2 linked regions of the Macaca fascicularis genome follow. The protein of the gene in region 2 purifies or fractionates together with the protein of the main gene of each other region. This does not show direct contact. Links are inferred from orthologs where the notes say so. Each region holds a gene or a part of one and is shown on either strand. Other genes may lie near its edges. The genes, in order: RPS3 and ASCC3.

Region 1 (15,506 bases), on a different chromosome or scaffold from region 2:
CAACATGTAATCAATATAAAAATATTAATGAGACATTATATTCCTTTTTATATTTCCAAATCTGATGTGTATTTTCCTCTTACAGCACTTTTCCATCCAGACTAGCCAGTTTTAAGTGCTCAAAAGCCCCACGAGGCCAGTGGCTATGGTATAAGATGGTACAAATTTATAGTCTGATTAAGAGACTCTGAGTTTTTTGTTTTGTTTTGTTTTGTTTCCAAGACAGAGTCTTGCTCTGCTGCCCAGGCTGTAGTGCAGTGGCGTGACCTCGGCTCACTGCGACCTCCGCCTCCCAGGTTCAAGCAGTTATCCTGCCTCAGCCTCCTGAGTAGCTGAGATTACAGGTGTGTGCCACCACACCCGGCTAATTTTGTTATTTTTAGTAGAGATGGGGTTTCACCATGTTGGCCAGGCTGGCCTTGAGCTCCTGACTTTTGGTGATCCACCTGCCTCAGCCTCCCAAAGTGCTGGCATTACAGGCATGAGCCACGGCTCCTGGCCCTAAGACTCTGAGTTTTCTATCATAGAACACGTTGTAGGTGAAAAGAAAAATTAAAAAAAAAAGACTGAGTTTTCAGAGGAAAGGATTATGACATTTTGTGTTGTAGACAAAGACATCCCCATTGTTTCACAAGTGGCCACATTATCAGAAATCCATATATGTTCGTGTTTCCTTACATTTTTTCTTTGTTTTCATTTCACAAGTAACACGTGAATATACTTTTTTTTTTCTTTTTTGTGTTTTGAGAGAGTCTCGCTCTGTCACCCAGACTGGAGTGCAGAGGCTCGATCTGGGCTCACTGCAACCTCCGCCTCCCAGGTTCAAGCCATCCTCCCACCTCGGTCTCCCGAGTAGCTGGGACTGCAGACCCACGCGCCCAGCTAATTTTTGTATCTTTTTGTAGAGATGGAGTTTCGCCCAGGCCCGTCTGGAACTCCTGAGTTCAAGCAATCTGCTCACCTCAGCCTCCCCAAGTGCAGGGATTACAGGCGTTAGCCACTGCACCCAGCCAATATATTTTAAGAAAAGTCAAGCCGGTCGGGCGCGGTGGCTCAAGCCTGTAATCCCAGCACTTTGGAAGGCCAAGACCGGCGGATCACGAGGTCTGGAGATAGAGACAGTCCTGGCTAACACAGTGAAACCCTGTCTCTACTGAAAATACAAAAAAAAAAAAAAAAAAAAAAAAAAGCCGGGCGTGGTGGCAGGCGCCTGTAGTCCCAGCTACTCGGGAGGCTGAGGCAGGAGAATGGCATGAACCCGGGAGGCAGACCTTGCAGCGAGCCAAGATGGCGCCACTGCACTCCAGCCTGGGCGACAGAGCGAGACTCTGTCTCAGACAAAAAAAAAAAAAAAAGAAAAGAAAATTCAAGCCATAATTGCTCCTTAACCTCCCCTAATACTGCTGCATTCCCCAGAGGTAACCTTAGTTCTCTGTTAGTTGAGTATAAATCCTTCCATTCATTTACATGCATAGATATGTTTTATTATATTTTACATACATATTATAGAGTAATATTGTTCTGCAACTTGCTTTTTTTCACATAGCAGTATCACTTGGTGCTTTTTTCGTGCAAATACATAGATCTATTTCTTTTTTTCTTTTCTTTTCTTTTTTTTTAAAGAGTCTTGCTCTGTTGCCCAGGCTGGAGTGCAGTGGCGCCATCTCGGCTCATTGCAAGCTCCGCCTCCAGGCTTCACACCATTCTCCTGCCTCAGCCTCCGGAGTAGCTGGGACTACAGGCGCTCGCCGCCACACCTGGCTATTTTTTTTTTGTATTTTTAGTAGAGATGTGGTTTCACCGTGTTAGCCAGTATGGTCTTGATCTCCTAACCTCGTGATCCGCCCGCCTCGGCCTCCCAAAGTGCTGGGATTACAGGCGTGAGCCACTGTAATTTTTCTTTCTTTTTTTTTCTTTTTTAGTTATTACATGATATTCCACAACCATTTTCCTACTGCAGGGCTTTTTGGCTGTTTATAATTTAGTTTTTCACTATTACTAACAATGTTCTAATAAGCATTCTTGCAATCACCCCATGTACATTGTGTGAGTGTTTTTCTGAAGTAGATAAAAAGAAATATATTTTCTAGGCCAAAGGGAATCTACATCTTCAATTTTAGTGGATACTGCCAAGCTGCCCTCCAAAAAGGAAGAACCAGTTCACACCTCACCTACAGAGTGAGGATGCTTGTTTTAACACACCCTTCCATACACTGAATCTTATTTTTATTTTAAGTAGGGGTATTCAGAAGTGTGAGTCTTTTAAGCAATGATACAAAAGCAGTGAAAAAAGATCTGTTCAAATTTATTTGACAGCATTCTTCTATGAATATGCAGAGACTCAATTTGAGGCCCAGAGTGAGTCACCGATCTATTTTAACCAAATCACTGAGAATCCAATGACATCATTGTGTCTCTCTGGGGGTGTCAGACTCTAAAGTAAGTGACAACTGAATATGGTCGCTATTGCCCTAGAACAGCAATCCCTTAACAGGTGCCATAGTGGAGACCCATTTACCCTCTCTCTGTGAACAGAAGAAGCTCCTCTGTCCTCCCACCTCCCTCTGAGCCACTCTGGAGCAGCAAGGCAGGGACACCCACCCTTATTCCCACAACTTCAGTTCTCTCTCTGTCAAGCTCCTCAAGTGGGATTCAGGTAAGTTTTTCTTCCTCTTTCTTTTCTTTCTTTCTTTCTTTCTTTCTTTCTTTCTTTCTTTCTTTCTTTCTTTCTTTCTTTCTTTCTTTCTTTCTTTTCTTTCTTTCTTTCTTTCTTCTTTCTTTCTTTCTTTCTCTCTCTCTCTCTCTCTCTTTTTTTTTTCCTGAGACAGTCTCACTCTGTTGCCCAGGTTGGAGTGCAGTGGCACAATCTTGGCTCAGTGCAACCTCTACCTCCTGGGCTCCAGCGAGTCTTGTGCCTCAGCCTCCTGAGTAGCTGGGACTATAGGCCTGCCACCATGCCCAAATAATTTTTGTATTTTTAGTAGAGATGGGGGTCTCACCATGTTGGCCAGGCTGGTCTCAAACTCCTGGCCTCAAGTGATCTGCCTTGGCCTCCCAAAGTGCTGGGATTACAGGCGTGAGCCACCGTGCCTAGCCTTTGGATTCAGGTAAATTCAGGTAAATTCAATGCTTTCTATGAGGTTCTACTGTTTTCAAACTGTTCCCAGAAACTGTGGGCTGTATTCATTTGACCAGGGCAAATCTCACCTTTGGTTTTCAGGAATTTCAGGAAAGTCCTTTGTGACGCTCCAAGGGCCCATGCATGGCCCAAGTGTGGCCACAAAGCCATATGTTTCTCAGACACTCACAGTCCTCTCTTCACAATCCAAGGGACAATTCTGTGACTCTGTGGGCTAAACAGATAGAGTTTTGCTTTCTTTTTGGATACCCAGGGAGAGATTAAGGCACTCTCACTGTCCTTGCTCTTAGTAACAACTCAATGTATTACAACTACTATTGTTTCCACAGCATTGAGTACTATATTGCCTTTTTCTTATAATAGTCTTAGACAGAGGAAGGGCAGTATGATCAAGACAAAGGCTTCCTTCATGGACGTTCTCCTGGGACTGGGGGGTGACACTCAGGCAGGCAGCCTCCTGGCATCCCTGGGGAAGGGCAGCAGATGAGCTACCACATCATCAAGAGGTGGCATTTACCTCAGAGAACTTGCCACTGTCTGATCCTCAGCTTTGAGCCTCCAGAATTTGGTTTTCTGAACATCCCAGATAAGATACAGCATGTGCAGGCAAATTCATATTAGTTCCGTGCTACAAGGAATTATCTAAAAACTAGAATCCATGCATTTATTTGTTTGCTCTTCAAACTTTGACTGACACTGGGCCTGAGCCTGTCCAGATCCAAGCTCTGAATAGAATGAATAAAATAGGTTCAGTCCAGGCTCTTACAGAACCTACAGTCTACTGAGAGAAACACATAGACCATTCCAACCCAGTGAGATGAGTGTTACAGGAGGGGATGCACAGAACACTACTGAAGCAATGAGAGGAGGCACAACCCTGAAGAAGTGGTGTGTTTAACATGCGGGCAGCAGGGAAAGGAAAGAGTCAGTATGAAGCGAGATGACCATGAGCAAGGGGGAGAATGATTGCTAGAGCAAGGTCTCAAGGAAACAGAACTAAACTGGGACCAGAACACAATGGGAAGGCTGGCCTTGGGAAGAAAGATGGTCTCTTTCCTAAGCTGGGAAGGAAGGAGGTAAGGATAGCCAGGAATACACAGGATTATAGGATGGGCAGGAGGCAGTTTCTGGCTATACAATCTATTAGGGGGCCAAGGGGCTAGGAGGGAGGTTGACTTCTGAAAGTGAGGAGGTTCTGGGGTTAAAGCTTTGTCAAATATTATAATAGGGACTGTGGGAGAATGTGAGGCATATGGGAATGAGGAAATAGAAGTGATTCACTGAGAGGGTCTAGGAGCCTGCTGTGATTTTACTCTCATCCCAGCACACAACGGCGGGTGCTCTCCTTCAGCGCCCACATCTCTAGTGAAGACATAGGGAAGTCAGGCAGGTGGATTTACCAGGCTCACGTTTTCAGCAACCTGGCACCACTCTATAGACAGACCAAGGAGCTGGATGAAGAGGCGCATGAAGAGCAGAGAGAGAGAACAGATGGACGGGGAGCGGGGTTGGGGGGGCAGTGGGAAGAAAAACAACCTATTCCTAGGTTCCTCATCTCGGTAAGGGTTGTCGCCAAGCATTCACGACTGAAGTCAGAAACTAGGGCATCTGCTGGGTGCAGTGGTTCATGTCTGTAATCCCAGCACTTTGGGAGGCCGAGGCGGGTGGATCATCTGAGGCCAGGAGTTCGAGACCAGCCTGGCCAACATAGTGAGACCCTGTCTCTACTAAAACCACAAAAATTAGCTGGTGGTGGTGCGTGCCTGTAATCCCACCTACTCGGGAGGTTGAGGCAGGAGAATCGCTTGAACTCGGGAGGCAGAGGTTGCAGTGAGTTGAGATTGCGCTACTGCACTCCAGCCTGGGCGACAGAGGGAAACTTTTTCCTAAAAAAAAAAAAAAAAGATAGATCCACAGCTACCATCTCTTTGGTTCTTTGGTTCGTCCACTTCTCTTTTCTTTTCTTTTCTTTTCTTTTTTCTTTTCTTTTCTTTTTGATAGAGTCTCACTCTGTCACCCAGGCTGGAGGGCAGTGGTTTTGACCATGGCTTACTGCAATTCCACCTCCCGGGTTCAAGAGATTCTCATGCCTCAGCCTCCCAAGTAGCTGGGATTACAGGCATGCACCACCACACTTGGCTAATTTTTGTATTTTTAGTAGAGATGGGGTTTCACTATGTTGGCCAGGCTGGTCTCAAACTCATGACCTCAGGTGATCCACCCACCTCAGCCTCCCAAAGTGCTGGGATTACAGGCGTGAGCCAACGCACCCAGCCACTTTTTGTCGTCTTCCCTGGTCCCTCTGCTCAGCTCCTGTAGAACTCTGTTAATTCCATGATTATAGGACAGGTCACTTTACATCAGAGTTGTTTTAGTGCTGGAGTTAAACACTCCAATGGCTTCTAGGACCAGAAAATAACTGAGTGATGCTGCCAGGGAGTGTGGCACATTGGAAAGCCTCTTTTGGTATAACGGGGAAGGAGAGCACTGCCCATGAAGAAATGTGGGTTCACTATTTTGCTAGATATTTCTATATTCTTTTTTTTTTTTTTTTTTTTTTTTTTTTTGAGACGGAGTCTCGCTCTGTCGCCCAGGCTGGAGTGCAGTGGCGCGATCTCGGCTCACTGCAAGCTCCGCCTCCCGGGTTCACGCCATTCTCCTGCCTCAGCCTCCCGAGTAGCTGGGACTACAGGCGCCCACAACCGCGCCCGGCTAATTTTTTGTATTTTTAGTAGAGACGGGGTTTCACCGTGGTCTCGATCTCCTGACCTTGTGATCCGCCCGCCTCGGCCTCCCAAAGTGCTGGGATTACAGGCGTGAGCCACCGCGCCCGGCGATATTTCTATATTCTTTTTTTTTTTTTTTTTTTGAGATGGAGTCTCGCTCTGTCACCCAGGCTGGAGCGCAGTGGCGCCATCTCACCTCACTGCAGCCTCCGCCTCCCGGGTTCATGCCATTATCCTGCCTCAGCCTCCCGAGTAGCTGGGACTATAGGTGCCCGCCACCACACCCGGCTAATTTTTTTTTTTTTTTTTTTTTTTTTTTTTTTTTTTTTTTTTTTTTTTTTTTTGTATTTTTAGTAGAGACGGGGTTTCATCGAGTTAACCCGGATGGTCTCCATCTCCTGACCTTGTGATCCGCCCACCTCAGCCTCCCAAAGTGCTGGGATTACAGGCGTGAGCCACCGCGCCCGGCGATCTTTCTATATTCTTAAGAAAAACCTGAAATAGTTTTAGAGAGAAATACCCTGACTTTTACGTGAAGAAAACTATTCAAACTTAAAACTGTTATTGAAGTGTTTAGGGGTAAAGTTTACCAATGTCTGCAACTTACTTTGAAATGCCTCAAAAGATATATTGGTGGGTGGCTACAGGGATGAGTAGATATATGATAAAGCAACAGCAAAATATTAGTTGTAGCATCATTCTCAATTCCCCCTCAGCTTGGTAATGCATACATGTACAGTTTTTCCAACTGTTCTGTAAGCTTCATAATAAAATGAACAGACATTTAAATTTTTTTTTTTTTTTAGACTGAGTCTCACTCTGCTGTCCGGGCTGAGTGCAGTGGCACAATCGCGGTTCACTGCAGCCTAGACTTCCTGTGCTCAAGCAGTCCTCTCACCTCTGCCTCCAGAGTAGCTGGGACTACAGGCACACACCACCACACCCGGCTAATTTTCTTTTTTCACTTTTTGTAGAGATGAGAGTGTCTCATTCTGTTGCCCAGGTTGGTTTCAAACTTCTGGCCTCAAGCAATCCACTTGCCTTGGCCTCCCAAAGTGCTGGGATTACAAGCCTGAGCCACTGCACCTGGCTAGAATTTTTTTTTAATTGAAAAAGAAGGCCGGGCGCATTGGCTCATGCCTGTAATCCCAGCACTCTGGGAGGGTGAGGCAGGTGGATCACTTCAGGTCAGGAGTTCAAGACCAGCCTGGCCAACGTGGTGAAACTTCATTTCTACTAAAAATACAAAAATTAGCCGGGTTTGGTGGTGTGCACCTGTAATCCCAGCTACTCAGGAGGCCAAGGCAGAAGAATCGCTTGAACCTGGGAGGTGGAGGTTGCAGGGAGCTGAGATCGTACTACTGCGCTCCAGCTTGGGCAACGGGAGAGAAAAGAAAGAAAGGAGAGAAAGAGAGAGAAGGAGGGAAGGAGGGAAGGAAGGAGGGAAGGAAGGAAGGAAGGAAGGAAGGAAGGAAGGAAGGAAGGAAGGAAGGAAGAGAGGGAGGGCGGGCGGGCACACGAGCCACTCTCTGGGACTTCTGTTACAAATTGTAATGGACTTGATGAAAGTAAGGTGGAGTAAATGAAAACAACATAAAGGGCACAGAACACAGTCCCTAGGACACTTAGTAAATATCAGGTTTTATTATCATTTGGAATGGAGGAAATGGGCACAGACTGGGGGACATTCTTTTTTTTTTTTTTTTTTTTTGAGACAGAGCCTCACTCTGTCGCCCAGGCTAGAGTGCAGTGGTGGGATCTCCGCCCACTGCAACCTCCACCTCCCGGGTCCAAGCAATCCTCCCACCTCAGCCTCCTGAGTAGCTGGGATTACAGGTGCCTGCCACCACGCCCAGCTACTTTTTCTATTTTTAGTAGAGACGGGGTTTCACCATGTTCGCCAGGCTAGTCTTTAACTCCTGACCTCAAGTAATCCGCCCGCCTTGGCCTCCCAAAGAGGAGTCTTAAATGAATTTCACTGAGGGATTTCAGCAGATTTTCATTACAATGTCCACCCTGAAACTGTAGGGGCCAGAGTTCCACGCTGGTTAAACTCTGTTGCTGTGTGAACTTATACCTGTAATTTCCACCTCTGCACCTCGCATTGCTTGTTTTTAAACTATGAGAATTGAACTCGCGGCCGGGCGCGGTGGCTCAAGCCTGTAATCCCAGCACTTTGGGAGGCCGAGACAAGCGGATCACGAGGTCGGGAAATCGAGACCATCCTGGCTAACACGGTGAAACCCTGTCTCTATTAAAAAATACAAAAAACTAGCCGGGTGAGGTGGCGGGCGCCTGTAGTCCCAGCTACTCCGAAGGCTGAGGCAGGAGAATGGCGTGAACCCGGGAGGCGGAGCTTGCAGTGAGCTGAGATCCGGCCACTGCACTCCAGCCTGGGCGACAGAGCAAGACTCCGTCTCAAAAAAAAAAAAAAAAAGCGAATTGAACTCTAAGATCCTCTGAAGTCTAGCAGTCCTGCTGGTCGAACCCCCTTTGCTGTTCCTGCCTACACTCTTCCTTCCCTTGACGCCTTCTTTACGTAAAAACTACATTTCCCATGAGCACCCATAGGCGTCCACGTAGCGCAGCCCTGCGTCGTCGCTTGCGCCCTTTATACTCACTTCCGCCCGCCCGCCACTTCTTTTTCTTTCGGCGGAGCGCGGCGGCAAGATGGCCGTGCAAATTTCCAAGAAGAGGAAGGTGAGCCTCTGGGGACTGGGTTCGGGGAACGACTGCGCCGCGAGGGTCAGGGGCTTCTCGGGTGCCACCGCGAGGCCTGCAGCTCCGTGCCCTGCCCTGGGAAGCGGCTTAGGCCTCCTGGCATTCCCACGGGCCGCGGATGGCGGTGGATTGAGTGAGAGGCCCGAGCCAGGCGGGCGCTGTGTGGCCGGGTAAGGGAGAGACAGGTTTTTCTCTGGTTCCGAGTGAAGCGCAGAGAGATGGGGACCAGGCGCCCCTTCTGTCCCGGAGAAGGCGTTTGTGAGCATTTTTTGGTCAATGGAATTAGTAAACGTGGCATTTTGAGGGCGTGTGTCATTTCCCTCATGTCTTATCCCATGGTTTTGGGAAGGGGAGGCAGCAGTGTATACTTGTCTTCTTACTGGTCGAGTCTGGGTACAGTCTGCTGGTCCCACGACCTCAACATGAAGGGTTACTGACGATTGCTTGCTCCGTCTGAGGACCCCGGGAGGAAGCTGCCTCGGATTTAACGCTTTGTTATTCCATGGGAAAGAACTGTGTAAAAATCATTAGCTTTAAAAATAGACAGTTTGTCATTTCGTATACCTACACTTCGATGTTAAAATTAAATCCACAACTCTTGTGAGTTAGGATTTTCCAGCTCTGTTTACAGTTAAAACCACAGGTACCGTAAGGCCAGATAACATGGCTGGGATTCTTTAGACGGTCCAGGTTGTGTCTGCAAGTGAGAGAGCGTATGTTAAGTCCACTATCTATTCTGTTCCTTCACAGTGACAAGTACAGTGTCTTTGCTGTGCTGAGTGAAGTGTAAATAGGCTATTTTAGAGCAGTTTCTTGTTTTGCATGTGGAACTGTTTTAAACCCTTCGATGAAGAGATGATGACGAGTCTGACTTGGGGGTGTTGCCTTCGCCCAGGTTGCCTACTCTGTGCTGCATTCTGTGGCACAGTTTAAAGGGCCCTGGTTGAAGTAACTTCCTAAAGATGACCTAGAGGCATTTGTCTGAGAAGGGTTGCTGCACTCCTGTTGGAACAAGGGTTTGGAACCATTGGTTGGAGGTATTTAGTTTTGGGGAGGGATGCATTGACTAATAAGACACTGGCTCAGGCGAAAGTGAGCCTACACCGATGTCCTAATTTTGAACTTCGCTTTTTTTGGATTAGTTTGTCGCTGATGGCATCTTCAAAGCTGAACTGAATGAGTTTCTTACTCGGGAGCTGGCTGAAGATGGCTACTCTGGAGTTGAGGTGCGAGTTACACCAACCAGGACAGAAATCATTATCTTAGCCACCAGGTAAAACTCACTTGACTGGCCATCACCTATAATTGTTGTAAATGCTAAGTTGGTTTATTCCTTTTTTTTTTTTTTTTGTGAGACAGAGTCTTGCTCTGTCCCCAAGGCTGGAGTGCAGTGGTGAGATCTCTGCTCACTGCAAGCTCCGCCTCCCAGCTTCCTGCCATTCTCCTGCCTCAGCCTCCTGAGTAGCTGGGACTACAGGGGCCAACCACCATGCCCGGCTAATTTTTTGTATTTTTAGTAGAGAAAGGGTTTCACCCTGTCAGCCAGGATGGTCTCGATTTCCTGACCTCGTGATCCGCCCACCTCGGCCTCCTGAAGTGCTGGGATTACAGACGTGAGCCACCGCGCCTGGCTGGTTTGTCCTTTGTGAACTTAAGGGGATAGACAGCCAGTGAGTCTGGGCTTAGTGAATGTAATTGCTTCTTAAAAGCTGGATTTTAAGGCCAGGCATAGGATCGCTTGAGCTCAGGAGTTCAAGACCAGCCTGGGCAACATGCGGAAACCCCCTCTCTAAAAAAGATAAGGGTGTGGTGGTGCATACCTGTGGTCCCAGCTATTCCAGAGGCTGAAGCAGGCGATGGCTTGAGCCCAAGAGGTCCAGGCTGCAGTGAGCCATTGGTGTGATCCAGCCTGGGTGACAGAGAGAGACCCTGTCTCAAAAAAAGCTGCATTTTGAAAATTTAACTTTAGTTTTTGTCAATGAAAATTATATGCTTTGTGGCAGAGATTTTGCTACCACATATATATGCAAGATTTAAAGTTAAATCTAGCATTTGTGAGAGTCATGAATTGTCACTTTTTCCCCGCCCAGAACACAGAATGTTCTTGGTGAGAAGGGCCGGCGGATTCGGGAACTGACTGCTGTAGTTCAGAAGAGGTTTGGCTTTCCAGAGGGCAGTGTAGAGGTGAGTGATTCTGGCGTATGCCAGAGATAATGGCTCTTCAGAATGATAACTTCTAAAAACTGGGAGACTTTGTTCATTACAAATGGACTGATACAACTTTGTTGAAATTCTCTTAATGAATAATGGGCTTAACTTTGTAAGCCTGTTCTGCTAATGGCTGATAGTTAAAGGATTTTACATTCAACTTGGGTATAGAAATGATGCATATGATGGATTGACTATCCCCATTGGTGTACTTGGTATGGCCAAAGGAGCCAGGGTGGGAGGGCAAGGAACCTGCACTGTGTGTAGGTGGTAGAAGTGCTTTAGGAATTGAGGGATACTGAAATTATATGCTGTTTGTGATGGTGTTGTGCAGTCTTTTGGCCTCCGTAGGCCACGTTGGAAGAATTATCTTGGGCCACGCTACTGGTAGTGCAAAAAATCACGATGTTCAATTTTTGTTGGGCCACAATCAAAGCCATCTCCTGGGCAGCATGCGGCCTCTGGGTTGGGCAAGCTTGGTCTAGAAAGTGATGCTTGTGTGACATGCCAAATTTTCAACTTTCAGTTGAAAACAGTGGTGATGGTAACAGGATGTCCCTTCCTTCCTTTAAAGCTTTATGCTGAAAAGGTGGCCACTAGAGGTCTGTGTGCCATTGCCCAGGCAGAGTCTCTGCGTTACAAACTCCTAGGAGGGCTTGCTGTGCGGAGGTAAGTGTCCTGAGACCTAATGGTCATGACCTTTTGTGTGTATCAAAATATATGTCTCCTGTTTGTTGATTAGCAGATGAACTGTTATAAAGTGACAGGATCTGCTAGTCTCCCAGGATTATAGTAAGATACTAAACCATGCCCTCACTGAATTGGCAGACTAGCAAGACTATGAAAGCAGCAAGAACCATAAAGGGTGGTCAGTACTGTAATGGAGAAGTGTTCTGGGTGCTTTGGGAGTTCAACACAAATAGAACTGTCCAAGGAGGGGACCAACTCCTGTTGGTCTTCGCGAGGAGGCTTTACAAAGAGCCCTGTCGGGGAGTGCGGTGGGCAATGAAGAATAATTAGGCCTGTTACTGGGTGTGTGTTATGTATCCCTAGGTAGAAGTGCCTTAGTACTTGTGGGATACCATGAAACTTCAGTAGGAATCATTTGGATCTACTTAATGTGTTCACTCTTAAAATGGTACTCTGAAGAGATAAGATAGACCTGATGCGAGAGAGCTTAAAATCTAGACACTTAACCTCTGAGTTGCATGCAGATAGTAATGTGAGGGTGTACTGGTAAGATTTCAACAGGAAGTTCTTTGTGCAGTTAGACTGTATGTAAAGGCATTGAAATGCCTTGCCTAGAGGAATGATAGGAAAACTGTGCTGTAGGAAGGTTGACTGGTAGGGATGGGTAGTGTAGACAAGGCCGTAGGTAAGGACCTAGAAAAGACTGCTTACCTGGTTCGAGTGCCCGCTAGGCGCTTAGAACAATGGTTCTCAGAAGATTAGTGCCAGTCCTAGACCCACCAAATAGGAAACTGGATGTGTGACTCAGCAGTCTGTCTTAGTAACCCCTCCACATGCTAGTTGCACACATTGAAGCAAGTTAATGTACTTCTGAGCCTGGGATCTACTATCTTCTAAGGTGAACCATCATACCACCTCTTAGTTGTAGAATATTAAGTAAGATAATGTGAAAGGGCCTGGAGGTGGCTAGCTCTCCAGTTAGTATGTCGCAGAGTGTAAACTACTGAATGAGTTGGGGGGTAGGGCATATTTTAAAATGTTTTATCAGCATTCTAATAGCAAGGTAGCCAGGATCCTAGGTGGGTTAGCTTTCCTAGTGAATGAGACTTCGGAGGTTGCAGAGTATTACAAGGGACCACAAAGTGGGTAATTGGAGTTTAAAAATGTGGTTCTCAATTTTGATTATACGTGAGAATCACCCAGGGAGCATTTTTAAATACATGTGCCTGTACTTTGCCCATTTAATTGGCTTAGAGTAGGGCCTAGACATCAGCGTTTCTTTTGTGTTTTATTTTAGCCTTCCGAGGTGATCCCAGTATGCAGCCAGAGTTGGAAAGTACATGTTTAGGAGCTTGACATACTTGATGAATATTACCCTAAGATTCCGTGTGATAGGTGTGGAAGAGAATTGGTATCATTGGGGCCAGATTCTGGTCAAATTTATTCTCCATTAAAGGAACATTGAATACTAAGTTTTTGTTTTGTTTTTTAAACTTGGTGGAGGTCCTTGATAATAACACAAGTAGATCTCTTCTTTTCTTCTAAAGGGCCTGCTATGGTGTGCTGCGGTTCATCATGGAGAGCGGGGCCAAAGGCTGCGAGGTCGTGGTGTCTGGGAAACTCCGAGGACAGAGGGCTAAATCCATGAAGTTTGTGGATGGCCTGATGATCCACAGCGGAGACCCTGTTAACTACTACGTTGACACTGCTGTGCGCCATGTGTTGCTCAGACAAGGTGAGCAGCTGAGAGTGCTTGTCAAAGGGCATTTGTGGATAGATTTGGTTTTCCACAGACATCTAAAAATTTGGGGGAGTTTATCATGGAAGCAGCTGGGTATGTTCATATTCCTTGGCATATCGATTACCACATTGATCTGTAAGAATCAAATTGCTGAGACCTGTCAGATCCAAGAGTTGGTTTGTCTTTTTTAGCCATCTGTGTACCCTTCAGTGATGACATGATGACGAGTCAGAAAGGTCACCTCCTGCTCTTGGTCCTTGTCAGTACCATGTTCTGTGGTGCTGTGCGTGAGTTCCTTCTGCAGAAGTGTCCTATTCATTGATTGATTTAGAGGCATTTGTCTGAGAAGGGACCAGACCCAGGAGTGCTTGAGTAAACTGCTTGCTCTCTTTGGTGTTGTGTGATGGGGGCCGGTGAGATCCCAGCTGTGTGCTAACAACTGTGGTGTCCTCTAGGTGTGCTGGGCATCAAGGTGAAGATCATGCTGCCCTGGGACCCAACTGGTAAGATTGGCCCTAAGAAGCCCCTGCCTGACCATGTGAGCATCGTGGAACCCAAAGATGAAATACTGCCTACCACTCCCATCTCAGAACAGAAGGGTGGGAAGCCAGAGCCGCCTGCCATGCCCCAGCCAGTCCCCACAGCATAACAGGTATGTCTGCAGGGGCAGGGGCCTCTTGGGGCAGAATAGGGTCCTTCCTAGTCTTTCTGTTAATACTTGTATCCCACATTCTGGTAAGCATTTGGTGAATAAAAATTGCATTTATTTACTTTATGTGGGAGAATACAAGTTGAAACCTGGGGTCTATTTAACCCTCAGTTCCATTGGGACAGGTGTTTGCCTTTATTTTCAGAAGTTCCTGCTTTCACTCGTGTGTATGAAATGAAATAGTTTTCCCTTATCTTCCCTTATTTGCTCAAGATTTTTTTTTTTTTTTTTTTTTTTGAGACATAGTCTTGTTCTGTCACCCAGGCTAAAGTGCAGTGGCACGATATTGGCTCACTGCAGCCTCTGCCTCCCGGGTTCAAGCAATTCTCCTGTCTCAGCCTCCCGAGTAGCTGGAATTATAGGCATCTGCCACCAAGCCCAGCTAATTTTTGTATTTTTAGTAGAGACAGGATTTCACCATGTTGGCCAGGCTGGTCTCGAACTCCTGACCTCAGGTGAACCACTGTGCTCAGCAGCTATGGTCAACACCTGGGGTTTTTTTGTTTGTAGGTGTTGTGTCTCTAGGTGCCTTGTATTTTTTTTTTTTTTTTGAGACGGAGTCTCGCTGTGTCGCAGGGGCTGGAGTGCAGTGGCTGGATCTCAGCTCACTGCAAGCTCCGCCTCCCGGGTTTACGCCATTCTCCTGCCTCAGCCTCCCGAGCAGCTGGGACTACAGGTGCCCGCCACCTCGCCCGGCTAATTTTTTGTATTTTTTAGTAGAGACGGGGTTTCACTGTGTTAGCCAGGATGGTCTCGAGCTCCTCACCTCGTGATCCGCCCCTCTCGGCCTCCCAAAGTGCTGGGATTACAGGCTTGAGCCACCACGCCCGGCCGCCTTGTATTTTTTTTTATATATAAAAAAGGACAAACCCTTATATATTTTGTTAATGTTGCTGCAAACCCTCAATGGGAGTGTGTATCCATTTGGTAAATAAGGAACTTAATAACTCTGGTAAAATTTCTTACTTTTGTGCTTTATTTGGTTTCAGGGTCTCCTTGGCAGCTGTATTCTGGAGTCTGGATGTTGCTCTGTAAAGATCTTTAATAAAATCTGGTACAAAGACACAAGGCCTGAATAGACTGTTTAGTATTCAGACTGAGGGGCACGTTGGCCTCTGGAGCATTACATATCTTCTTGGTACCATACTTGAAGTATTTGCAAGGGCCAGAACTGTAAGACCCAAGCAGAGCCAACCAGAGAGATCTTTGTGTGATAGTGAAGACTGATAGCAAGCAAGGCAGCACCTTGATTCGTTGTCCTGTAGTTCAGGGTTATAGGTTTAGAAGAGGGCTGTATTTGAGTTTTTCCTATGCATAAGGCGATCCACGTTGCATATAGAAAGTGAACATAAATGGTCATTATATTTTGTGTCATGCTGTGCTCTAAGTATTCTTTACATATGTACTCGTTAATCAACCTCTCTAAAGTGTAAAGGAAATTTGCTTGTGCCACTGAACTTAAGATTCAGAAGTAAATTTGCCTAAGCAGTATAAAGCTATCATTAGAATCCACATTCCTAAGTTGTGTTCTCTTAGGGGATCATGGAACCAGTCATTGGTACTACAGGCCAT
Region 2 (15,578 bases):
TCAGGTTATCTAAAGTTAAGATGAAGGAAAGAATCTTATGAGCTGTGAGGCAAAAGCACCAGGTAACCTATAAAGGAAAACCTATCACATTAACGGCAGATTTCTCAGCGGAAACCCTACAAGCTAGAAGGGACTGGAGCCCTATCTTCAGCCTCCTTAAACAAAACAATTATCAGCCAAGAATTTTGTATCCAGCAAAACTAAGCTTCGTAAACGAAGGGAAGGTACAGTCTTTTTCAAGCAAACAAATGCTGAGAACTTGCCACTACCAAGCCAGCACTACAAAAACTGCTAAAAAGAGCTCTAAATCTTGAAACAAATCCTGGAAACACATCAAATAAAGCTCCCGGAGATCTTATCAAAATAATCAGCATGAATTATGCTTGTCAAGGGAATGAAGCAAAGCACATTACCAGATTTGCTATTTTTATTTGATGTGTTTTCTTCCCGAGGTTGAATGACCAACACTAAAAATGTAACAGTTCATTAGCTCATTGTTACCTATAAACCATTCATACACAAATATTTGAGTTTCTCCTATCTACTAGGATCTGGGCTAGGCACTGGATGTTAATAAAGTTTACAGTTCCTCAAAACACATTGTATTTTGTACCAGGAAAAAGATTCCCTTTAAGTTGTATTTGAAATGTATAAAGGTCAAATTCAGAAAACAAATTTTAAATCTTATGTTATTCATTTACTCAGCAAATATGTATAGATCACCCACCATATATTAGATATTTTATGAGGCTCTAGAGATTAAAAAAAGAAAAACATTTTGATATGATTGCACTTGCCCTCAATGATGAGTTTACAGTATGGTTAGGAAGAAAGAAAAATAGTTGCAATAATTATGCAGCTATAACTGTAGGAAGACAGGGAAGGAGCATCTAAAGGGGTAGGAGGGCACTAGATATAAAGGAAGGAAGCTGAGCTTGAGCTGAGACTTAAAGGACCTAGACAAGGTTATTACAAGGGGTAAACTATGAGGGGGAAAGCCAAAATAACAGACTCAATTACTTTTAAAACCCCTACAGAATGTGCATTTGGAAACTGATGAAATAAGACCTAAAGATGTAAGCAGAGACCAAACAACATGTCTCAAATTAAGCACTTTTCATTCTGATAATCAGAATCACTGAAAAAATATTAACATGTTATAGAAAAATTACTCAGATTTACATGTGGTGAACTGTCAAGGTGGGGTCAAACAGGACATAGACAAACCAGTTGGAAAGGTTTTCAATAAACCAAGTGAAAGATAAAGAGGATAGAATTAAGCCAGGGAAATGCATAAAAGGATGGATTTAGGAGATCAGTATACTTGGAAGACAGAATCAATGTGGAATAGGATTTAAAGAAGGAGAAAGCAGCAGGACACTCAAATTTCTGGCTTAGGAAATGCTGAAGAGTGGAGGACTCTATTATGTATAGAGGGCATCAGGAAGAGGAATGATAATTCTGTTTTGGAAAACTTTAATTATGGGCTATCAAGTGGGATATATGGTTTTGGATTTTGTATCAGAGGTCTGGGGTGGAAATCCAGAATTTCATGTTATCACTTCATCACAGTTAAAACCATGGATGAACATAATATTCGTTTAAGTCAAATATACATAAGCCCATGGACCCTCTTCCTAAGAAAACAGACATATATACATATAAACAACATTTTATACTCCATTTCAAAAGCTGCATGAATGCCCATTAATGCACTCTACTCCTAAAGGCCTCTTGGAAGTAGACAGTAGAGAATTAAGAACAGAGTTCTAAGAAAGTGATCCACAAATTGGTAGTCATATGGAAAGAGTGATATGACAAGAGAAAAGAAAGTTTCAAATGACATGATACAGTCCACTGTACTCAGCAACTCTGAGGTCCCAGATGACTAGCACACCTAGTTTCCAAAAATGGTAGAAGGTAAATCTCAGTGAATTAAAGGATAAATGCAAAGGGAGAAAATGGGGGGGAAAAAAAAAGAAAAAAAAAATCTACAAATTGGTATATGCTATTCTTTCAAGAAATTAAGAAAGAAAAGGAGAAAAAGTAAGAAATACTGAAATAGTGTGGTTTAAGAGTTTCTGAAAATACAGGATAGAGTTGATCATGATTCTGTCATAATCAGGGGAGAACAAAGACAGAAGGAAAAGTTGAGCAATCAGGAGAAAGACCATGACTGATGGAGTTAGGGTCTCTGAGAATACAGGCGAGAATGACAACAGAAGCACAGGTCTAGAGAGACTTGGATAGATAAGTATGGAAGGAAAGATGAGTGGAAGTGAATATAGTTATAACATGGTTAAGCAGAGGGTGAAGGAGGAGAGAAAAACAGGGTAAAAGGGAGTTCCACCAAAATGACTCCTATTTTATTTGAGATATGCTGAGACTGTTCAAACAGGTGATGAGATGGGATTTTTTCTATTACAGAGGCAAAAGTCTGAACTTACCACCCACAATAACAGAAGAAATCTTTTTCAGGTAGCAATGAATGTTCAGCTCATACTGCAAACAAAAGGTGGCAATAATCTGGCATAGGAACAAAGGTTGGTGTGAACCAGGGTTAAGGTTTTATAACACAGGGGTTGTGGGACAATGAAGCCTAAATGATGAGGGTTGTTAAGTGCTTAACTTTAGGCCTAGATGAAAGGAAAAGATGTTCAACTAGGAGGTCTTAAAGACAAATCATAACATTCATAGTTAAAATTTCTGGTAAGATCACAGTGAATAAGTATTAAGAAAAACTGGCCTGCATATCAATGTTTACCTTACTAATTTTTACTCCACAATTAATATGGTCCACTAAATGATAAATACATAAATGAAAAATTCTGTTAATAATAAATACTTAATGCCCCATAACAAATATAATTTCTAAAGGATTGAAACCCTAAAAGCCTATTTTTGTTAGAAGTACTGGCTGTGGCTATCTGAACAAATCTTTAAATTGTTAATTAAACGAAAGTACAGATAAAAAGAAAGTCTTGAAAATGTAACTGCCCTTTTTTACATTCCAAATAAGGAGAAAACTAATCTAATGGTAGCATATTTCCTTTTGGGAGATGATATTAACCAATAATTAGTGAGCTAGAATCCCAATACACACTATTCTGAAGTACTACATATAAAAATTGTAACATTTATTCTTCTTAAACCAAACCTGTGTTTCTTAACTCTAAATGGTCTAATTGCTTGATAGCAACTTTAGGAAAATACAGTTACTGTATTTTTTCATTATAAACAAATGAGAAAATCTCCAAAACAGTCAAACTATATTTCCTAATAAGTTCAGTCAACAATTAGTTACTGACAATTATGGATACTAGGGAATTATTAAAGGGACAAAAATAGTCAAAGTGATACAGTGCAGATTAAGGGATAAAACCACTGACATGAAGGAGCAGGTTGTAAATGGAGTAAAATTAGAATTTAAGATTTCAATACTTAAAATACAATCTTGTACCCACAAACCGACACCTTGAAAAAATGAACAGTGAATAAAGATTAAATAAACAGTGAATAAGAATATTTATATTTTTAAAAAATTAAGTTGTGATATTGTTAATATTAGCAAGATCAGAACTCAGAAAATAGCCACCATCGACACATATATACAATCCTCCATTATGCCGTTTCAAAAGGGGTTGATTTTTCATGGTAAATCCTAAAGATAATTTTAACCTTTTATCTCTTACTTGTATTAAACCTTATTACCATCAATTGGTTCATACAGCAGAGTCTAAGCACATTTTACTTTCTTTAATCTACCAAACACTGTAGGCCAAAAAAAGGAAGGTAGAGTCAGACAAAAACAATAATTACTAGAGATTCTGCTTACATTTCAGGTATTGAATACCTGCTCTAGAGTGAACGGCGGATGGGCAACAAGAATCTTGCTCTTTCAGTCTGTTTTAATCACCACATGCATCTCAAAATGTGAGCATCTTGCTGCATTGCATGACTCTAGTTTTTAATACTTTTTCTCTTTTTTTAAAAAACATACAAGGTGGTGACCAAACACAGACCAACTTTTTCACTGGGAGTTCATCTAAAGAAACTGTGATACATTCCAAGTCAGGATGAAAAACACAGCTGTGTAGGACGTGCTGAGAGACAGCATGTTATGCCAACCTGATGTCCTCTTAAGGGATTCTCAAAGGTAATCTTCGCTATTCACAGTTTCCACCTAACAAGTTCACTTTAGATGCTAACTCATTCTTAAGCAAGAAGCAATTGCTCTTGAATAGTTCCCAATCAAGTTAGGAAACACATCTGAAGCATGTAGAATAGAGAAAGCATGACCAAAATAATAAAATACATAAACACTTTTCACACAATACAAAATATAAAATAGTTAAAAACAAAATTTAAAACAAAATGGGGCTCTTATTCTCTAACTTATCCTCTAACTAGGTTTCCCACCCAAAGGTGGGGGAAAAAAAATCCTGGACAGGCTTATAACTATAAAGCAGATTAGCCTTTATATTCAGAATATTCCCCCCAAAGTTGTGTTAATTTTACTTTTAGCACAGGATAAGGAAGGCTTTTCCTTTAAATGTCCCTGGGAAAACAAAAAAATATTTTAGCACCAGATAAGGCAAGCATAGTCAAAAATTCCAGAACATCCCACAAAGATGAAACAAGCACACCCATTACTCTCAAGAAAACATGGAACAGACCCAGCACATATTAGGCAGTATATATTACAACTCTTTGCACAAAAGAAAAGGTCCAGTGGAAAAGGGCCTAGCACAGATTATGTCTGAAAGACAAATTCTCATTCCACCCTAATCCATAAGCCTCTGGAAGGCAGACTCAAGGAATTTACACCTGCCCTCTTGTGAGAGTGGAAAAAACTCAAATTGTTTTTCCTCTGCTCTCACACCACAACTATCAACACAGAAGATGTCTGTGGCAAAATGTGTATGAGTTTCTCCCTACGCACCAAGCAAGCAATCATTTCTGCAGCAGACATTAGATAGGTGTTCTCTAATTCATTTCTGACACTATCTAGAGATACTGTCATATCCCACAGAATGAAGGCCCAGTCCCACAAGACTGCCCACCACTTCTGATGCCAATTACAAGTTCCAGACTTTTTTATCTGTACTTCTGACTGGCCAGCTATAAATTGGGGATTACATGACCCTCTCCTTGGGTTCGGTTAATTTGCTAGAGTGGTTCACAGAACTCAGGGAAACACGTTTACCAACTTATTATAAAGGATATTACAAAGGATACAGATGAAGAGATACATAGGATAGGGTAATTTAAAAGGGAAGGGAATTTCCATGCAGAACTTCCAAGTACTTCCTAGGCATACCACCTCAAGGACTCTCCACATGTTCAGCTTTCAGAAGCTCTCTGAACCCTGTCATTTTGAGTTTTTATGGAGGCTTCACTACATAGGCATAATTGATTAAACCCTTTGGCCACTGGTGATCAACTTAATCTTCAGCCCCTCTCTCACCTCCCTAAGCAGTTAGGGGGTAGGGATGAAAGTCCCAACCTTCTAATAATTCCTTGATCTTTCTGGTAACCAGCTCCCATCCTGAAGCTACTAGGGGCAGCCAGCTAGCAAAGACAAAATTCTTAGTCTATTTATTAGCACACAAAAAGGCAAAATGGGGCCTGTAATCCCAGCACTTTGGGAGGCCGATACAGGGAGATTGCTTGAGCCCAGGCGTTCCAGAGATACACAGGAGATCAATCAGACCAATGTGAAGACTGGAAAGCAACTGATTTCTATCTCAAAAGAAAAAGCTTTTTATTTATTTATTTTGAGGTAGAAACTGAGGTAGAACTGTTAACTTTATATTTAAACCAGCTGTGCAAAAGAAAAACTTACTCTTCTGAACTGGCAAACCACTGGTACATATACTATCTTTTTGATCAAAGGCAATATCAAATCATGCTGTTAAAGCAAGATCATCTGCTCCTCTTTCAATGCCAGTTATATATATACATTGACAATAACTTTTTCTTTTAAAAGCTTTGGTTTGGTCAACTACACATCCATGGTATGAGAAAGAACCCTAGTCAAGATTCTCTCTTTAAGGAGGCTGCTGGATTATAGAAAGTTCATGAGCACAGAGATTGTCTCTCTCTTGCTCTCCTAGGTCTGGCCCAGCGTTTGACACATAGGAAGACTTGAATGAATGAATGAATGACAAAAAACTGTTAAGGAGGGATCAAGAAAGCTGAACCCATGAAAAATTAATTTACTCATATAAGTAAGATTATTTAGCCTAAGCTTAACAGCATCTTTAAGGATCATTTTTCTCATGCAAAACTATTATAACCATCATTAAACAAAAGAGACGACAAAAACTGGAGCACGATCCATGGTAAAACCAAAAGCTGAATTCTCAACTTTTGAGAACTCTGAGAATCAGAAAAAGGATTTCAATCTATGAAACATAAAATCTGGTGAGGAGAAAATGGCTATCAGTCTAACCTAACTTAGGGAAAGAAAGAAAACGTAACTATGAGTTTGAATGCACAAGTGACAACACATCTAACTTTTACCAAACCCTAGAATTATGCTTCTTTTAAACCAAAGAATAGCAAATACCATTAGCACACTGCATTCCACGGATAATTTATGATAAGAAACCTATTTGAAATAACTGCCCATTACTCACAAAACCTCCCTAGCACCCACATACACATTTATTTATTTCAAAATGACATTCTAGGCTCCTTGATTGCGAAATTCACCCACAATCCACCACGGTCAGCTACCTATTTACTTTTCAGTGTGTTGGAGGAAAAATACGAGGAAGATTTCTTTTTCAAAATCTACGTGAAAAAAAAACTTAGTTACCAAGGCTTTGTAACAGAAAAAAAGAAAGAAAACAAATTACCCATGCATGGGACAGGAAAAAACACCTCATCTGGTCACGTTGTGGCTTAATACCTAGACAATACGTGGCTTAGGTTAAGTTTTCTATCCCCTATCCCACCTACAAACTCTAGGAATGGGCGGTATTGTTGCGAGACCCCGGACTCGACCTCAAACCACCGAAAAGGATGACAGGTCTGGACTTGCCCCAGAGGTAGGAAGAGAATCTCTCGGCGGGTCGCGTAGCCAGCCCCGCCGTCCCCGCCTCCAGTCAGCTCCCCTGGCCGCGGCGACCCTTCTCGTCCTCCCACCTCCACCTCCTCACCTCTCGGCCCGGCTCACGCGTTTCCCTTCACTCCGTCAGCTCCTGCCACCGCGCCTCCTTCCCTTTCGGTTTTACTTTAACTTCCCACGCCGGGTGAGGTGCTGAGGGCAGGGCCAAAGATGCGGGCGGGCAGCTGTACCGCCGCGCCCTGTCAGCCCTCCACGCCGCGCTTGCCGGGGTCGCGCCCAGTCACAGGGAACTGCGTGCGAGGATCATCAGCCAGACAGACAGACCCACGGACCCGGCGAGGAGGGACAGAGTGGAGCGGGCGCCGGCCTACACGTCACCGCCCCGCTGCAGCGCCAACGTCGGCACGTCGACTCGTCGATTCCCGGCCCTCCGCGCCGCCCGCGTGCGCGCGTCGCCCCGCCTCCCGCCTCCAGCCTCTAGTAGGCTGGGCTCGGAGGAGCAGATGCGGAAGGTCCCGGCGGCGGCGAGGATGAGTCGCCAGGCCCAGGCGGGAGCGGCCCTGAACGGTGTGCTTTACCCTGGTTGCTCGCGCCGGGCCAGGCCTGCCATCTCGACCTCTCTGTGAGTTTTTCCCCTGCATTTACTTCAGGCTGCCGCCCTTCTCCATAAGGTAAATATGTGGAGGAAATAATTCCTATTAAAGGTAAAGGAAAAGAGAGCAATTTGAATGAAGAAACAGGTAGTTGTTATCGTCGTCTTCAGCCGAAGCTCTCTGGCTACTGGAAGTATACATGGTTCTCTGGTGTCAAGGCCTGTTTTCCATAAGCTTTCTGGATTCTCAGCTTAGTTCCCTCAAAGTGATCTCTGCAAGTCGGTCCTTGGGTCAGAAGACCTCCTCCAAAAACAGAAAGCCCGAAGATTCCCTAACTCGATTGAAAAGATAGGAAGATACGAAGAAAAACTAACCTAAAGAACTATGTGGTTTATCTGCAAAGAGTTCTAGACTAAAAGCCAACAATGCAACGATAGTATGAGTGAATGTGTTTGTTGTGGCTCTCCTCTGCCATTCCCGCTTCCTCATAAGGTAATGTGCCCCGATGCCTGGTAGAACTGTTTTGTAGAGGCAGCCAATAGTGATCCAGTTATTCTCTTTAATGGTCAGACCACCTCTGAAGTGCTGTGTTCAGCATTTGAAGAAGACCTCAATCAAGATGGCATTCTATCAGGGAAGAGCAAAATGATGAAGAGAACTCAAAAACAGGGCAAGTGAAGAAGTGTTGATTAAACCTTCCAGGACTCAGTTAGAAGAGTGAAAACTACTGGACTCTCTCCAAATATGAAGTGACCTGTCATGTGAAGTTGATTTGTTTCATGTGATGCAAACTTCAGGGAACAGATTTAAGATCCTGAAAAGAAGATGCCCTTGTAGCACGACCCAAAAAGAATTTCCTACCTTAGCATGTGTAAATACTTCAACAACAGAATTTTGCTTCAGGGAGATTCTGAAGCTCACTTAATAGGGACTTGGTACAGGGGAGCCACACATCAACAGAAGAATTAGTTGATGGCTTTGTTAAAGCTATTTCCAATCTTGAGATTGCATGTGTCTTTGGTCCTGGACTTCATAGAATTTACAAGTTAGTTCATGAGAGAAGACAAATGCATCACAAAAATAAATAATGCAAGGAGGCCACTTGATAATGAGAGGTGCTGATAAGTGCTAGGAATTCACATGGCAGATTATTCTCATCACAGTTCCAGAGGCTTAAGGGAGAAGAGAAGAATCGAAAATACACTACCTAGAACTGCGCTATCCATTAGGGTAGCCACCAGCTAAATATGTCTGTTGACATTTGAAATGTGGCTTGTCCAAATTGAGACATGCAATGAGTTCAAAATGTACACCAGATTTCAAAGACTTAGAAAAGAAATGTAAAATATTGTAATTCTTACGTCGATTACGTGTTGAAATTATATATAATGGATCAAATAAAATATGTTAAAATTAATTTCAACTTTATTTTTACTTTTTATGTGACTTCTAGAAAATTTTAAATTACATAGGTGGGCTTGCATCATATTTCTATTAAATAGTCCTAGCCTGGAAGGAAATTCAGTTAGCCCTCTGTATCCATGACTTCTGTATATGTCTCAACCAACTTTGGAACAAAAACAATTAGAAAATAAAAAAGAAGAAGAATGGTTATGTCTGCACTGAACATGCATAGACTCTTTTTTTTCTTGTCATTATTTCCTAAACAATATGGGTATAACAACTGTTTACATAGCACTTCCCATTATATTAGATATTATAAGTAACCTAGACATGGTTTAAAGTATATGGGACAATGTGCATGGGTTATATGTAAATACTATGCCATTTTGTATAAGGACTTGAGCATCCTGGGGTTTTGGTATGTGGGAGTGTCCTGGAACCAATTCCCTGTGGACACTGAGGCATGGCCTTACTTCACTGAACTCTTAAGAACTATTTTTGTCCTCTTTATAGTCCCCGGGGTTTCCTCAATTTTTTTTTTTTCAAGAGATGGGGTCTTGCTGTATTGCACAAGCTGAAGTGCACTGGCTATTCACAAGCACGATCATTGTGCACAACAGCCCTGAACTCCTGGGCTCAATGATTCTTCTGCTTCACCCAGGCAGCTAGGACTACAGGTACATGCCATCAAGCTCAGCTTCCCCAAATGTTAGTGGAAAGACAGCCTAAGGAGAATGGGCCCTGATGACAAAGAGACTGTCCAGAAAGTATGCCATGAGCAAAGCCAAGAAACAAGACTATAACTGCATTCTAGATAATAAGTAACCTATTTATCTGTAATGGAACATTGTTAATAGAAGCTAGTGACAAAGCTAAAATGTAAACAAACTATAAGGAGACACAATTTTAAATTTAAAGAATTGAGTATAATAGGCAGTCAGTGTTTGGCGGTCACAAAATGGAATTGGGAGATTATTTTGGCAATATTGGGTAGGGTGGGTTGAAAGTAGTGCATGGCTGGGAAACCAATTAAAACTCATTGCAGTGGGCTAGGCGCGGTGGCTAACACCTGTAATCCCAGTGCTTTGGGAAGCTGAGGCAGGAGGATCACTTAAAGCCAGAAGTTCAAAAGCAGCCTGGGCAACGTAGGAAGACCCCCATCTCTACAAAAAATAGAAAAAAAAATAGCCAGACTTGATGGTACACACCTGTAGTCTTAGTTACTAAGGAGACTGAATTGGGAGGCTCTCTTGAGGCCAGGAGTTTGAGGCTACACTGAGCTATGATCATGCCATTTAGCTCAAGCCTGGGCAACAGAGCAAGACCCCATCTCTAATTGAAAAACGAAACAAAACTCCACATTTCATTTATAAATGTATCATATGGCCGGGTGTGGTGGCTCACAGCTGTAATCCCAGCACTTTGGGAGGCTGAAGCAGGTGAATTGCTTGAGCCCAGGAGTTTGAGACTAGCCTGTGCAACATGACAAAACCCTTTCTCTACAAAAAAAAAAATATATATATATATACACACACACACACACACACACACACACATATATATATATATATATACACACATATATATATATATGAAAACTAGCTGGGTGTGGTGGCATGCACCTGTAGTCCCAGCTGCTCAGGAGGCTAAGGCAGGAGGATCACTTGAGCTGGGAGGTCGAGGCTATAGTGAGCCATGATCACACCCCCGTACTGTAGCCTAGGTAACAGAGTGAAACACTGTCTTTAAAAAAAAAAAAAGTATCATACCAAAAAAAGGCTCAATATTGGATTGATTTAAATTAAATTGTAATACATCTCTAAATTTCGAGGCATTAAAAAAGCATAATGTGAATCTGTATTGCTTGATACGTAATATGTCTAAGATGTACAGTTGAATGAAATAGCTTGCAACACAATCTATACATAATATGAACACATTTAGGTAAAATTATATAAGTTTGTGTGTGTTTTATGTATATGTGTAACATGATCATTCTGCAAAGAGTGCCTTTAGTTATCTCAAAATTGTCTCAAGAACAGAAAATTTCAAGGTGGAAGTGTTTCCAAGCTATTTTTTGTAGCTCAACAAAATTATTCACGCTTTTGACTTTTTTCATTTCTATGTTTCATTATCTTTAGTATGTTAGCCTTTCATTCTCAGACTTGTCACTTCGTGGGTTGAGGGGATGGGCTGCCAAGTTTCAGAACCATTTCCAGCCCATCAGTCTCTGGGTACCTCCTTCAGGATGTGTGTCCACTAGGTCTGCCTAGCTCACCAGTGTGCCGTAGCCTCAGCTTCTAGGCCTTTCTTGTTGTATCTATTGTCAGTCAGTTCTTCCCTGCCCTTTTTCACCCCACCTCATCCTGCAACACCGAGTCTTAATATTCCATCTTTACTGCACTCCAGTGCAGTTCCTTCTCTGAAGCTGATGCTTAACCTTTGGGGAATGCTGATTAATAAAAGACTCAATTCTAAAATGTTTTCCTACTCTTTTAAATAAGTGATATTAGAAAAGAAAAAAGTTAGATTACTACCATGGCAGACACTGTTGTTTGCCTCCTCAACCACAATTTCTTCCCTCTTTCTTAACTAATGAGGTGATTTTTTTAAAGTACCAAACAACTCAAAAAATGTGAGCTTCTCCCAAAGTAATTTCATTTCCCTTTGAATAAGAATGTTGTAGAGGTGGTCATGTGGGCAAAGGGACAATCAGCTTTGGAGAATCCTGCACTATGTTTTACCCAGGTTTCAAAATATATGCTTACAATATATAAACGATTTTCTTGAATTACTGTTCAAGATGGTGAACTCAGCATATCATTTGCCTACTATCCTTTCCTACACAGTACAGAAATAAAAATGAAGAAACAGAAAAAATGAAGAATAAGTAAAGGAGTAAAGATGATGTGTGCCTGTATGCATGCACTTATGTGAGTAGAAAAAAGTAGATGATGTCAAGAAAAGCAAATGAAATTTCAAAAATATCTTGGGATACAAAGCAAATAGTAGTGATTTGACCAAAACCATAGCCTAAAAAATATAGTGGAGAAGCTACACAGGATAGGACAGAAGTAAGAATAAGGGCTGAAAATGGGGATAAAATATGGCACAATTGAATCTATCACCACACACATTTCCCTTTCTCATCCATATACACTGAGAGGAAGCAAAAGATATTAATATCTGCATCCAGATAAAAACAAAGACCAAAAATGACCCCCCAAATCTTCTCCAAATTAATTGAATAAATAGTACAGAAAAGTGAAAACTTTTAGGTTGATGACGCAGAGGAAAAACATTCTCATTCTAGCATTCAGGGCCAGCATCCTGAGAACAAGCTAATTGCTTACTCATCTAAAGTGAAACTTCATATTTGGCATTCCTGGCCCTGTCCTACCTAACCCAGCCACATATTCACAATTCCTACACAAGAGAGAGAGAGAACTGTCAGACCTCTTACCTACAAAAGGAAAAGGAAAACTGTATCAACTACCAATTATATATGTATACACACATATATATGAACAATTAAGAATTAACAGGCAAATAAGGAAAATGAGCATCATGAGAGAAAAATACAAAGAAAAACATAGAAAAACTAACTCTAAAGAAGGCAAGGAAGCATAAATAAAAGATTTTAAAGGAGCACCCCAATTAATATGGAATTCAGAACATATTATAGCTACAAGATATGAACAAGATACTCTGAAAAAGGAGCAACGATAGAGCAAAAAGAGCTACCAGACATTAAAAATATGTTAACTTAAAAACTCAAGAGAAGTACTGGAGATTAAATCAAAGAAGTCTTGTAAGAATATAGTATACATAGCAGAGAGAAAATAAGAAAGAAAACATAAGAATGTCATGGAGAGCCAACCCAATAGGCTTAACATTCAACCAGTAGATGAGAAAGATTTAAAAAAAAAAAAAAAAAAGGCAGAGGGAGTGAGAAAAGTATAAGATTTTTTTAGAGCAAAGAAGAAAACTTTTCAGATTTGAGTAGACTTGGGGTATTGAAAAATAGATTTAAAAAGACTCATGCCTGGAGACATTATCATGTAATACCACAGATAAAAATTATGAGGAAGAATTCCCCAAAGTTCCTAAACACAAAAGACATATTATCAACAAAGGAATAGGGACAGGTGCTATCAGCATCACTGCATATCTGAAGATAATGACAGAATATTTCAAAATTGTAATTGTAGATGTTTTGCAGTCTACAAGTCTATACTCATTCAAATTATCAGTTAACTGTGAGAGTAAAATGAAGATATTTTCAGACTAACAAGGATGTAGAATATTTTTCTCCTGGGTGATCTTTTGGAAACTCACTAGGCCATATAATCCAACAAAATAAGGACAAAAATTTATGCTGATGCTAGAGAAAGGTAAGGACAAATCTCTGCAAGATGGCTGTGCAGCAAGTCTAGAGAGCAAGCAGTATACATTGGAGAAGAGCATGGAGGATTCAAGAAGTGAGGTCACATAAAAGAGAAAAAAAAAGAAGGAATTCAGTAGACTAGATGGTAAGACAGGAGATTTGAAAAACAAAAAAATGAAACTGTGGTGTATATATATATGATGGGATACTGCTCAGCCATATAAAGGAATGAATTAATGACATTCACAGCAACCTGGATGAAATTGAAGACTATTATTCTAAGTGAAGTCACTCAAGAATGGAAAACCAAACATCATATGTTCACAACTCGTAAGTAGGAGGTAAGCTATTAGGATGTAAAGGCATAAGAATGACACAGTGGACTTTGGAGACTCGGGGAAAGGGTGGGAAGTGGGTGAGGAATAAAAGACTACTAATTGGGTGGGGTATATACTGCTCAGGTGATGGGTGCACCAAAATCTCACACATCACCAGTAAAGAACTTACTCATGTAACCAAACACCACCTGTGCCCCAATAACCTATGAAAAGAAAAAAATTTAACATAATGATAATCAAAATTTTAAAAAAGGAAAACAAAAAAATGAAGATATAGTAAATCAAATAGTGCCAGAATAAAAGGGAGGAAAGAGTAGTTCCTCAGAAGAACTTTTTAAAAAATATTACCATAAAAGGGTAAAAAACAGTACATATCCAGGAAAATTAGTACTGAGAGGAAGAAAGAGAGCCAATGAAGGAGAAAAAGAAAGAGTGGCTAAAGAGTTATGAGATAAACAGAGTATATTTAAAAAATTTTCTTCAAGTCACCCAGGTAATTACTGCTTCAAAGTTAAGGAGGGTGAAGATTGAGTAAATGTCTTTGGAAATATAAGTGATTGATGATTTGAAGCAATTTAGTAACATGGTAGGGATGGAATTAGATGTCAAGTGTAAGAGAGTAAATGAGAAGTGAGAAAGTGAAAACAGTGATGATAATTGTTTTTGTCTAATAAATGAATGAAAAAAGCAGGGCAATACGTGGAGGAAATATCAAGGTCCAGAAAAAATCTTGTTATCTGCCTGATGTTTTTAGGATAGAAAGAAAAACAGATATAAATAGAAGGAAAGAACCTGTAAGAAGTGAGTCAAGTAAGGAAATAATAAGGTAAAGGCACACAAGGATATACTCAAGGCTGTGGGTGAAGCTATTAACCTTGGTAGAGAGAAGTTTTCCTGGGAGACAGGAGGGAAGAAGTAGGGGATGTTTGAAAATACATACAGGAAACATTTAATGTGTTGAAGAATGTATAACTTTACAAATTTTGAAGTGAATATGCACTATGAAAGCCATGTTTCTTTTGGTGTCCTTGAAATTATGAATTGTTCATTGCAAAAATATTTTAAACTACTTCCGATAAGGTAGTGAGATATTAAATTTTTATAAAATATTACAAAATTCAGACAAAATCCAATTTCAAGAATGCAGTCATAGATTAGGTTGTAAAAAGCAACACCATTCTCAGTCAATATAAACATATGAAATAAAAACTACAAGTCACAGTTGTCACTGGCAAATTTAACTTGGTGTCCAATTGGTTCCCTAAATGCCAGGTGATACCCCATGATAAATGTGGGTATGCCCATGAATATGTGTTAGTGTGTGTGCATGGGACTTGGAGAAAAGAAAATTGGAAGTAATTGGATTATTTGCTTGTATAAGAAAGTCAAGTCTAGTTTCAGATATTAAAGGCTAGATAAAAGTCATTAGTTTTGAAGCTAATTACTTCCAATTTTCTTTTCTCCATTTATCCTTAAAGCATTGTATGAAAAGGAAAGAATCATTCCTTGCCAACTGTTGCTTTCCTATCATTCCTCCAAGAGATAAGTTAGGATATTGGTAAGACTGTATTTAATGAGACCCCAAACCAACAACTTAATAGAGTTTTCTTCTCATATAATAGGTTAGTGATGGGTAATCCTGAAATCGTGTAGTTGCTTTCTCAATTTAGTCATCCCAGGACGAGAGTACGTTCTTGTCACTTCGCCATTTATAGAGTGTTGTTTTCATGTAATAGTTCAAAATGGCCCACAGTCATGATCATATATATTTCAAGCAGCAG

Evidence for each region.
Region 1: the proteins of ASCC3 (region 2) and RPS3 purify together in Homo sapiens (co-immunoprecipitation; 4 studies listed by BioGRID and IntAct, with this or other methods). This does not show direct contact. The link is inferred for Macaca fascicularis from reciprocal best matches to the Homo sapiens genes ASCC3 and RPS3.

The regions. Positions count from the first base shown.
Region 1 is NC_088388.1:74,274,088-74,289,593, forward strand, and holds RPS3 (small ribosomal subunit protein uS3), read left to right. Parts: upstream 1-8,505; 5' UTR 8,506-8,535; coding exon 8,536-8,565; intron 8,566-9,428; exon of another isoform or gene 9,429-9,576; intron 9,577-9,728; coding exon 9,729-9,859; intron 9,860-10,676; coding exon 10,677-10,770; intron 10,771-11,368; coding exon 11,369-11,463; intron 11,464-13,031; coding exon 13,032-13,219; intron 13,220-13,429; exon of another isoform or gene 13,430-13,575; intron 13,576-13,680; coding exon 13,681-13,874; 3' UTR 13,875-13,877; intron 13,878-14,923; 3' UTR 14,924-15,002; downstream 15,003-15,506. UniProt on the Homo sapiens protein: Component of the small ribosomal subunit. The ribosome is a large ribonucleoprotein complex responsible for the synthesis of proteins in the cell. Has endonuclease activity and plays a role in repair of damaged DNA.
Region 2 is NC_088378.1:74,428,835-74,444,412, reverse strand, and holds the start of ASCC3 (activating signal cointegrator 1 complex subunit 3), read right to left. Parts: upstream 7,471-15,578; 5' UTR 7,167-7,470; intron 1-7,166. UniProt on the Homo sapiens protein: ATPase involved both in DNA repair and rescue of stalled ribosomes. 3'-5' DNA helicase involved in repair of alkylated DNA: promotes DNA unwinding to generate single-stranded substrate needed for ALKBH3, enabling ALKBH3 to process alkylated N3-methylcytosine (3mC) within double-stranded regions.